3 linked regions of the Canis lupus familiaris genome follow. The protein of the gene in region 2 binds, or shares a complex with, the protein of the main gene of each other region. Links are inferred from orthologs where the notes say so. Each region holds a gene or a part of one and is shown on either strand. Other genes may lie near its edges.

What was found.
Region 1: HNRNPH2 (region 2) and PA2G4 share a complex: the UniProt entries of both Homo sapiens proteins name them as parts of the ribonucleoprotein complex. The link is inferred for Canis lupus familiaris from reciprocal best matches to the Homo sapiens genes HNRNPH2 and PA2G4.
Region 3: HNRNPH2 (region 2) and SRSF1 share a complex: the UniProt entries of both Homo sapiens proteins name them as parts of the ribonucleoprotein complex. The link is inferred for Canis lupus familiaris from reciprocal best matches to the Homo sapiens genes HNRNPH2 and SRSF1.

What each region holds. Positions count from the first base shown.
Region 1 is NC_049231.1:783,871-787,520, reverse strand, and holds part of PA2G4 (proliferation-associated protein 2G4), read right to left. Parts: intron 3,617-3,650; coding exon 3,483-3,616; intron 3,182-3,482; coding exon 3,087-3,181; intron 2,970-3,086; coding exon 2,842-2,969; intron 2,667-2,841; coding exon 2,613-2,666; intron 2,401-2,612; coding exon of another isoform or gene 2,335-2,400; exon of another isoform or gene 2,069-2,334; intron 1-2,068. UniProt on the Homo sapiens protein: May play a role in a ERBB3-regulated signal transduction pathway. Seems be involved in growth regulation. Acts a corepressor of the androgen receptor (AR) and is regulated by the ERBB3 ligand neuregulin-1/heregulin (HRG).
Region 2 is NC_049260.1:75,730,617-75,734,366, reverse strand, and holds the end of HNRNPH2 (heterogeneous nuclear ribonucleoprotein H2), read right to left. Parts: exon of another isoform or gene 3,576-3,750; intron 2,765-3,575; 5' UTR 2,712-2,764; coding exon 1,362-2,711; 3' UTR 536-1,361; downstream 1-535. UniProt on the Homo sapiens protein: This protein is a component of the heterogeneous nuclear ribonucleoprotein (hnRNP) complexes which provide the substrate for the processing events that pre-mRNAs undergo before becoming functional, translatable mRNAs in the cytoplasm. Binds poly(RG).
Region 3 is NC_049230.1:32,652,961-32,656,710, forward strand, and holds the start of SRSF1 (serine/arginine-rich splicing factor 1), read right to left. Parts: upstream 2,766-3,750; 5' UTR 2,618-2,765; coding exon 2,424-2,617; exon of another isoform or gene 2,017-2,423; coding exon 1,832-2,016; intron 1,458-1,831; coding exon 1,285-1,457; intron 1,086-1,284; coding exon 891-1,085; 3' UTR 1-890. UniProt on the Homo sapiens protein: Plays a role in preventing exon skipping, ensuring the accuracy of splicing and regulating alternative splicing.

The sequences.
Region 1 (3,650 bases), on a different chromosome or scaffold from region 2:
TTTCGTGTTTTCCTTTATAATTTACACAGTAACACTTCATCTTTTTAACTGGAAAAAAACTTTTAATACTTCAGGCCCTTGGGGATCCCTGGGTGGCGCAGCGGTTTGGCGCCTGCCTTTGGCCCGGGGCACGATCCTGGAGACCCGGGATCGAATCCCACGTCGGGCTCCCGGTGCATGGAGCCTGCTTCTCCCTCTCTCTCTCTCTCTGTGACTATCATAAATAAATAAAAATTAAAAAAAAATTAAAAAAAAATACTTCAGGCCCTCGTTTAAGAAGACCTAGTATTGTCACCATCAGAATATAACAATTTAAAAAAAAAAAAAAAAAGAATATAACAATTTTTGAAAAAAAACCTCCATCAACATTAAATCAAGTCCACCAGCATTTCACCTGTTGATTGCCCACTACAGTTGCCATATGAACATAGGTTTGAACTGCCATGGGTACATTTACACGTGGAATTTTAATCTATATACAATACCGTAAATGTATTTTCTCTTCCTTGTGATTGTCTTTATCTTACTGTAATAGAGTATATAATGCCTATAACACGTAAAATGTGTTAATGGTTATTCTAGCTTCTGGTCAAAAGTAGGCTATTAAGTTTTGGGGGGTCAAGTTACATATGGATGACTGTGCCAGCACGTTGGTGCCCCTAATCCTTGTGTTTAGGGGTCAACTGTAGTCTATAAGCTCTTATGAAGGGACTTACATTATTTTGTTCACTATAGTTATCTCTGTATCAGCAAAGCCTCACAAGTAAGTAAGATAGTCTAATAAATCATCCATCCATCTCAGACTGGCCCTGAAAAGTTGCCTAATGACAAAGGCATTTTTCCTGGTTTCTGAAATCAAAATACTTTTTTAAAGACTCCCCACTGAGCAAAGAGCCTCATATGGGGCTCGATACCAGCACCCTGACATCACGACTTGAGCCAAAGGCCGACACTTAACTGAGCCACCTAGGTGCCCCAATATACTTATATACAGGCTTTCTTTCTTACAGTACACCTTGTCCTAAACAAATTGTCACCAACAAGGGGTAAGATTTTACTCCAGAAAAATTTAAAAACTTTCATTAAAAATTTACTGTCTTAATTCAGAGAACCCAGGCTTTAGGTCTTCCCCAATCCACAGTACTTCTTGGTTTAGAAAGACAGAATGTGGCAACATAGAAAACTAGTTCCAAATGACTATCACTTCAACTGACATTTCCCCCACCTCCATCAAATAAGAGCACCATATGAAGGCACCAGGATTATGAGCAAATCCAAATTTATTTTAACGCCATGTCATTTTCAACATGTTTAAAAACCTCATAAGTTAGCGGGAGCCCTAGTTCCTGGGACAGCATGCCAGAGGTACTGAAATTCATCACCTTTCTCTCCAAACCCCTAGCAATTCATCCAATCCAAGTCCACAGCTTCAAAAAGCCAAAAGTTGTATTTTCAGTCAGTCTGCTCCTTTGGTTCCTGGTCTTTCAGGGAGGGAGGTCAAAATATTTCAAACAGGGAACAAAAACCAGTTGAGCTTCCAGCTCAGGTTTCTAAGATGGAGCAGGGGAATGCATTGACCCCCCCCCTCCAATTGACTCCAAAGAAATGGACAAGGTTGAGATGGATTACTTCTTCACAGCTTTGTGAAGACAAAAAAAAAGTCCTGTGGAACAGAAATGACTAAAACTAAAGAGATTTACAAATGAGGATCCATTTGACAGATGAGAATCCCTTGGTAAATTCAGGCCCCAGCTCCTAAAAATGAGAGGGGCCTAACCAGACAGTGTGGATCAGAAAAGGAATCTGCTACATGTGAATAAAAACAATCTGAAGAATATAGCTCTTCTCTATATTTTGAGGCCTGATAAAATACCTGGGGAGTGAGAAAAGAGAGGAACAAGCCCCAACAGATGGGAAAATGCTGACACCAGAGTGGTATAAAAAAATTTCAGCTGAGTTTTTAGTGGTGGTGGCTACTTTAGCCTTCTCCCTGTTATGTTGTAGGGCCATAAACCTTGACCAAGCAGAGAGTAGTAGAAAAAGGCTAGAAAGAGGGGCTTGAAGACGATGAATTTTGACTCCTGATTTTATTATCAATTTCTCTTTTCTATTTAAAGTAGTCTTCGGTGGCTGGGAAGCCTGGCCTCCCAAGACCAGAGTCAGTTGGAGCTGGTTGTTGTTGGAAGGGGTTGGGATGGGGACAGGGATGGGGGCAGGGAGACCCTGCTCTGCTGGCGGTCCTGGGTGGAGAAGACGAACTGCACTTCACAGAGCCTGGGGTGTGGTGGGAAGGGGATGAGGCAGGAGCGGCAAGCTGGGGAGATGGGACCCACCTCAGTCCCCAGCTTCATTCTCTTCTAATGTTTCCCCACTGGTGGCATTCTCTGCAGTCTTGGAGGCCTATATTCATGGAAAGAACAGGAAGACTTACCAGTTTCCAACTACTTGCAATAGTATCTGGGAGACCAAGGGCAAAAACATCCTAATGCTTTAGGTCAGGGCCAAGCAGGGCAGTAAGGATCTACAGAAATATGTACGTCCACCACAACCCAGGAAGGTAGACTAAAGACAGATCAGGTTCACCCTGCCAGAGAGGGAAGATCATAACACACCTTCTTTTTTTTCTTTTTCTGGGTTTTCCGACTTGCAGAACTCTGGAGGAGGGCCTGGAAAAGAGGAGGAAGAAAGAAAACAAATTTTGAGCAATGTAGAGGAAACATGAAATGTCACTCTCAGTATCTTAACTCTTTTCAGGCCTTTGTTGACATCTCATCCTCACTCCCAGGACAGGTGCCATGTGCTCGCCACTCTCCTTTGTCTCCTTTGTGCTCACACACTGACCTTTAGCTCTGCATCCTGGACTTCCATCTCAGACTTGTAGAGGTCAGGCTCAAAGGGACCACTGGTTATCCGCATGGGGCCATTGGGCATGAGCAGGACTGTAAATTTAAACTGGGCTACAAATTCACCTATAGGAGAAAGGAAAGGTTTTGATAAAATGACCCCCTGTCATAATCTTTTCTGAAGCTAGATGGTGGGGACCCTAATTAGGGGCTCCAAAGTGAAACTCTCTTCTTAGAACTCACCCTCCTTCTCATAGAGAACATTAAATGGCTGTAGCAGTTCATGTTTGGCGCACTCCACCACACCCATCCGGGCCTTCTTCTCATCCTCAAATGCTCTGGGTGAGGGAAGACAGATTCAGGTATCCTTAACCCCCTATCAAGTCTTACCATTTTCCTGTTTTTAAATAGCTCCTACCCTCAGGCAGAAATCATGCTTAGGATTGCTCTTGCACATTATCTTCGATGAGAGGGCAATGGGGAGAGGGAGAGAAGGCATGCATGCAGGCTGGAGCTACAAGTCTAGGCAGGGGCAGGGTGGGAGGGGGTGCACTGGGAGAGGTAACAGTGTTCCTGGGTGTGTGGTCTATGAGTCAGGCTGGTTCTGAGTCCTGTTCTTGTTAAGTGCAGTCATAGTACCTTAAAGTAAATGGCATGGCATCAAAACGCCTCTCCACCTCACTGAAGAAGGCACGTGAAGTTTTCATTTTTAGGCCATACTGTTTAGAAGGGTCTCGTTTGTAAATGGTGGTTCTCTGTCCTGCATCCTTGGCCTAAAAGAGTAATGCGTTAGGTCACAGTTGGTCT
Region 2 (3,750 bases):
GGCATAGATCTTAAAAATAATGATACAGTGAACAATTTATGTATGATGGTACTAATGTGTGTTTATAAAAATTAAATTTAAATTTCAGTGGCAGGGGCACTGGGTGGCTCAGTGGGTTAAGTATCTGCTTTTGGCTCAGGTCATGACCTCAAGGTCCTGGGATCAAGCCCCATGTCCGGGACCCTCCTCAGTGTGGAGTCTTGCTTCTCCCTCTCCCTTTGCCTGCCATTCCACCCTGCTTGTTCTATCAAATAAATAAATAAAAATCTTAAAAAAATAAGTTTCAAGTGCAGAGGACTTGTATCAAAGAAATGGTTCATATGATGGAACATTTTTAAAAAATTAAGCTGTTGGGGCGCCTGGGTAGCTCAGTTAAATGTCTGCCTTCAGCTTAGGTCATGATCTCAGTGGCCCGGGATTGAGCCCTGCATCCAGCTCTCGGCTCAGCGGCAAATCTGCTTTTCCTTCTTTGATCTCTCTGCCTCTCTCTCTCTCAAATAAATAAAATTTTTAAAAGAAATCAAGCTGCACAAGATTTTTCATTTTTAAAAGGAAGATTTATTTAACAAGTTTCACTTAGTACAATACATCTAATGGAAATCACAATACAAGGAAAGGTTTAAATCAAAGTCTCAGAATCTCATACAAACAACATGACCAAACTCCTAAAGTATTGGTATTACATCTCAAAATTGTCCCAGATCTTTAAAAAAGTAAAAGTGTACACTCACGTGCCTTACAGGATATTAAACCAAAAAGCTAGAATTAACAAACATGCCAAATGTTTTCACTTTGAATCGTAGACACAGCTCCTATATTTGAGTTTTACAGAAAAGCATGTTTCTCAACATGCATCCAAAGTTTTCAAGGTATTGTGGTATAAGAGCAACATTTAACATAAGTGAAACTGCTTTAACCTAAATAATGCTTACTGCTTAGGTATACTCCTACAATGTAACTAACTTGAGGAAAGCTGAAAATTGTTTTAACAGTTATGGTCAATACTGAACGTTGTTATTACACCCTAGATGAATGTTTCAGTGTTCAAAATTACTGAGCTTAAAGTTGTAAAACCTTGACTTCCACTTTACAGTAAGCATGAATCACAAGCCTGTAATGCAAAACTGTTAAACTTAACTTTTGTTTTCTTAAAAAAAAAAAGGAAAGAATGAAAGAACGAAAGAACGAAAGAACGAAAGAAAGAAAGAAAGAAAGAAAGAAAGAGGAAGCTGACCAAGAGTGATCAGAATCAGTATTTCCCATTTACCAATCATACTGGATATACTAGACATCCCTCCCATTCTACAACTCCCATAAATGCAGAGATTTTATTTTTGTAATAGCTGTTTAGTATTGTTTACTTAAGCGAGGTTTGACTGATAGTCACTGGAGTTTTCCTGCAGCACTTGGTCATATCCACTCATACTGCTCTGACCACCGTACCCACCTCCATAACCCCCGCTTAGCTGCTGGCTGGCAGGGCCCCCATAACTAGATTGGTTGGATAAGCCCATTCCTCCCATCATTTGACTACCATATGCACCACCACTTGCCCCTGCTGTAGAATTCAAAAAGAGTTCTACATAGCTGTGATCATAAGCACCCCCACTTGTTCCTGCAGTAGAATTCAAGAAGAGCTCCACGTATCTGTGTTGCATATTAGCTTTGTCTTTTGCCATAGCTGCCACAGCATCTTCATGGGTAGCAAATTCAACATCTGCCTCACCAGTAACTCGGCCATCGGGTCCAATTTCAATGTGCACTCTCATGGGGTTAAGAGGTGAGAAAAAATTGTAAATATCATTCTCAGTGGCTCTGTAAGGTAATCCCCTCATGTGTACACAGTGCCCTGTGGTGCTCTGGAAACTGGACCCACCATCTCCATATCTATGGTCAGACATCCCTGAAAAACAGTAATTGAGGTCTCTTCCAAATCTATCAGACCCAAAGCCATAGCCATCATTATAGCCACCATAGTCATCATAGCCTCCATACCCTCCACCATAGGCACCACGCCTCATCCTTTCAAACCCAGTCCCTCTGCCAATACTATTATACCCTCTGCCAGCCCCTGGCCTATCATAAGGACCTGGCCGCTGCATAGCCATGAGCTTTCGCGGGGGGTCGTAGTGGGTTCGGACTTCAGCTCGGCTACTCTTGAAGATTTCAATGTACCTATGCCCTATTCTTTCCTTGTGTTTCTTTAAGGCCTTTTCAGCTATCTCCTGCGAAGCAAACTGCACAAAGGCCTCCCCCGTGCTCCGCCCCTGAAAGTCCACCGGCAGTGTCATCCCATTTGGCACAATTTCCAACCCTGAAAAGAACTGAACAATCTCTTCCTTGCTACAGCCAAATGGGAGTCCTCTAAGCCGGACGAAGCCATCGTTGGCAGTATCAGGACTATTCGGACCTGTATGCTTCAACACCCAATCCATTTCAACACTGTTGGACTTGAACACTTCAACGTATCTGTGTCCCATGGTTTCTCTGTCCTTCTTCAATGCCAATTTCACTTCATCTTCGGATTCAAGTTCGACAAACGCTTCACCACTTGGTCTGCCTTCTCTGGTATAGATGAAACGAATACCTGATGTGCCGTTTTGGATCTTGCAATCAGAGAAGAAGCGCATCACTTCATCAGCTGAGCAGGACCAGGGTAGGCCCCTGACCTTCACCACGAACCCCTCCCTGCCTTCCGTGCTCAGCATCATGATGATTGTTGGGCTCTTGGTGGCAAGCTTGGCTCAATGCAGTTTCAGTGTAGCTAAAAAAAAAATTAGAAGACTATTGTCATGGAAAAATGTTCACAACATAGTAAGAGAAAAAAGCAAACCAATAATATAAAACTCAAACGGATAGCTTTGTTCTAAAATATTCATATAAATAAAAAGACTGCACCAAATTTTTAATTCATTCATCCAAAGATTATTTACTCAATACCTATTATGTGTTGAATACCGTTAATAGTGGTTATTTCTGGGCAGTAGGCTTATGGGAACTTTTTTATTAAAGGAGTATTTTCTTTGGACATTTCTATGTTTTAGGTTTTCTATATTGAACATATATTAACATCATAGAACACAAAAGGCATAAAAAATCAGCAGCAAAATCACTGGAAGCTGTGAACAAATACGAGATAGCTATACCTGATTACATAAAAATGAAAAACTTCATTACATCAAAGGTAAGATTAAACAGAATTAAAAGACAATACACTTGAGAAGACACAACAGTACATTAATATCCTTATATAATGAACTCATGCCAATTAATAAAATCAAGGAAATATTAAGGCCTAAGCAATAAATGGGAAAAAGACATTAAGGGTGATCATACATTCATTTTATATTTTTCAACTGGCAAGTCCAGTACTTGGCTTTGGGATACAAGGATCAATAAACCAAGAAAGGGTTTATAGTCCTACAGGGGCATTATACATCTTTACTAAAGGCAAAAGGGCAAATAAACATTATTCCTGCTATGACAAAATTCTGTATAGCGTGAAAAGGTGGTATAAAACAGGGACTAGTTGGTCAATTCTAACAGTTGGCACAGAATTGTTTAAACAGACTCACCAGTTCAAGGATCCACAAATAAATTTTTAAAAATTACAATGGAGCATAAAATAGGATGAGCCCAGGCAAGAAGTTAAGGCTGGCAAGGTAGAGAGTAAGATCCCAAAGGCCTTACTTGATAGACAAACGTTAAGAGTCTTCTAAGGGTTTTAAAACAGAGGAGTGGGGTAGGGGA
Region 3 (3,750 bases), on a different chromosome or scaffold from region 2:
ACAGAGGACATGCAGATTTAGCAGTATTGATATTATACTCTATCTGGTTGGAATTAAAGACACCCTGTACCCACATGTACACCAACAGCAGGTCACACATTAACAGTTGTAACTAAGCACTGTGACAAATTAGCCAGTTCTTCCCACATTAGTCCCTATTAAAACAAAAAAGGGGGGAAGGGAGCAAAATAATTGTTACAAAATGGGCAATGTAATTTTGCCACAATTGCCAAGGTTTAAAGAGCAAAGCAATTGTAGCTAAAGATAACTGCACAAGATGTTTGCAAGTGTTTTAAGGTAGATGTATATATATATATATATATATAATCACTTTTATCCCTTGCCTTTTAGTATAAGGTCAATACTGCCAATTTCATCTGTGACAATAGCACTTGGAGTCATACCATTGCCTCCATTATTGATCTGATCCTCCTCAATCCTCCTTTTGACAATCCTAAAATGATTGAAATGTGCTCCACAATCCTTAATCCAAAGCATTCTTAATCCATCTCTTCAGATATGTCTACAGAAAGACACATGAAAAGCAAGATAAACATAAGAACTTCCCCAGGTAAGATAACCACAAACACCCCCAACATCCCAGTTCACACAAACCAGAGCAGAATAGACATTTACACAATATCACAGTCTGAAGAGCATGGAGAATTAACTAAATTTCAACAATCCTGTCTATGACATCACTTAAAATACAATTTATCAGACATGAGGGGAATGTAGATGTTAGGAGCAAGGGGATATTACACAAGAATGCAATTCAACACTTTAGCCCATTCTGAACAAAACAGTTTGAATTAAAAAATGAAAAGATTGTACTGAGTAAAGGAAAACTGTATACAACATGGGTTCTACAAAAAGTGTCACCAATCATCTTATGTACGAGAGCGAGATCTGCTATGACGGGGAGAATAGCGTGGTGATCCTCTGCTTCTCCTTGGGGAGTAACTGCGACTCCTGCTGTTGCTTCTGCTACGGCTTCTGCTACGACTACGGCTTCGAGATCGAGATCTTCCATAACTTGGACTTCTGGGCCCATCAACTTTAACCCGGATGTAGGCAGTTTCTCCCTATTGAATAGACAGAACTTTCGATTGAAAGATCTAAGCTTTCACCTGTCTTCAGGCATGCTGAACGAATACAATGTAACTAAAACCAGAAATCTGGTATTTTACTTGGACACCCTTGCCTGAATCTTACCTTCAAATTCCACTGTTAAGACCACTGTATCCAATTCTGGCCAAAGAAAAGAGTAAGTGTAAAACCTACCTCATGAGATCTAAACTTAGTGTTATCCAGTTTTCGAACTGCATAGGTCATATCTTCTTTCCGTACAAACTCCACGACACCAGTGCCATCTCGGTAAACATCAGCATAACATACATCACCTGCTTCACGCATGTGATCCTTCAAATCCTGCCAGCTTCCACTTGGAGGCAGTCCTAAAAAAGTATTTTTTCAATACCAATCACCCTAAATTTCACACTACACTTAAAATCTATACTAGAACGAAAACCACTTTAAAATTAATCAGATTCAAGATCGTAGGTAAGAGAGCCATTAATTAAGATTCTGGAATCCAAAGTCCCAAATTCTCTGTAAAGTAAGGATCTTCATCGTCCAGGCATCCGACCTAATGGTAGGTAACTAGCACACTGGTACACCTCCACTACGGTTATCCTTTACTAAACTCACCCGAGAAACTAAATTTAAGACCTACCACAAAAACAGGCATTTGTCAAAACCACTCACGCAAGGGAACACTTAAAAGTGGCTCCTGTCCCTCCTCAACAACCCTCACCAACAGAAAACTCACCGGAGACAACCACTCTGTTTTCAGAACGCCTGGATGGGGGCCCATAGCGGCCTCGGGGAGCCCCGCCACCTCCACCCCCGCCGCCGCCTCGGCCTGTACCACGGCCGCTTCGAGGAAACTCCACCCGCAGACGGTATCCATCGTAATCATAGCCGTCGCGACCGTACACCGCGTCTTCCGCGTCTCTGCGTGATCAGAGAAAGCAAGAGGTGTAAGAGTAAGGCCCGGGAGGGGCAGCTAACTCAGTCGGGAACTAGCGGCCCCCGCACATGCGCACCCAGCGAGGAAGAGCCCACATGCGCTGCATAATAGGAATGGCCCCTCCCCCACCCAGAAGCACGCCAGGCTCCCGACCACTACACCAGCCCTCGGCGCCTCAGTTTCCCGCTCCGAGACGGAGAGTCCACTCTGGGGACGTCCGTGGGCCCAGCCACCAGAGAAACCACATCGACTCGGCTCTTACTCGACTCCTGCATGGGCGACACAGTCTTACCCCCAACCTAAAAGCCCACCTCCCCATTCTCGGTAACAAGGCCTTTCCCCAACTACTCCAACTTATTGCCTCCAGGCGGCGAGGCCCAGGCCGCCTCACCGAGGGTCCTCGAACTCAACGAAGGCGAAGGGCGGTCCTCCGCGGCGATTCTTGAGATCGATGTCGCGGATAGCTCCGTATTTGTAGAACACGTCCTCAATGTCCTTGGTTCGGATGTCTGGAGGTAAGTTACCCACATAGATGCGGCAGTCGTTGTTCCCTGCCGGGCCACGAATCACACCACCTCCCGACATGGCGGCGACGAAAAGCGCGGACTCGAGAACAGGCCTTCCCACCAAGCCTAGCGCACGGCAGAGCGAGCCCGCAGCGACACCACGTCTCCCGCGGCCCCTCCAAAATGGCGCCTTTATCAGCTCGGCGCACGGATATGGGGGGAGGGAGGAAGAGAAGCGGGAGGAAGCTGCTATTCGGCCTCAGTACGCACGCGCAAGAGCGTAACGGGTGCTGCGAGCGGTACGCTCACGCATGCGCGACGTCACCCTCCGCGCGAAGGGAGAAAAAAGTTCCTCGCGTTCTGGATTTGTGGAGTGGCTCGCAAATGACGTGACCGGCCCTTTGGTAAAAATTAAACAGAGATCCCTCGTCCACGGAGCTACTAATCCCTGACGAATCTTAAAGGATAGTCCGTTTTCTCAGGAATGAGTCTCTTTTAAAACAAGTCCGCGCCTTAAAAGCATTGGGTGAAACCTAGCCTGGAGCCTTGTCCCACGATGCTCTGCGGCGTTAACGGCCTTTGGCGGGAAAGACTGCTGGGGGCGGAGCTAAGGGGGGAGGGACCTGGCGGTTGCTCCGGAAACGGGAACATCCTCGTAGAGGGAGGCTGGTCCCGGAGCTCCGCTGTTGGTGCTTCAGTCCCGAGCTGAGTAGTGATTTTGTTTTCCTGCCCCCTCTGGTCTCAGGCGGTGGGCTGCTCAGACAAGTGTCTCATTTAGGGCAACCCAGCTTAGACCCGGTTCCACCGCCGGCTCAGAACTTGACTTTGTATAGCTCAGCTCAACACGCCTTGACCTAGTGGCGGTGGCCGAGCCCTGACCAGTCAACTAGGACTGAGACCTCAGCTTCTCTTTAATCGCCCATCACTGGGCCTAGCGCAGAGGTGAGGTCCATTGAAAGGTTGAAGAGTGAATTGTGCCTGTTACGTATCCAACTCTTTCAAAAAAAAAAAAACAAGAAAAAGCGCGCGTGTGTTGGCAGAATCCTGGAGTTTGTTCCTCTTTCTGACCTCATTCCCGAGCCTCTCAGGTAATATTTAAACGAGCTGGGGGGATGTGTTAGAACTGTGACCCCTGGAGACCACAGTTGCTGCTCAGAACTGATCCCACTTGCATGGCGGCCCAGGGAAATAAGAACCTGTTAACATTTTTTT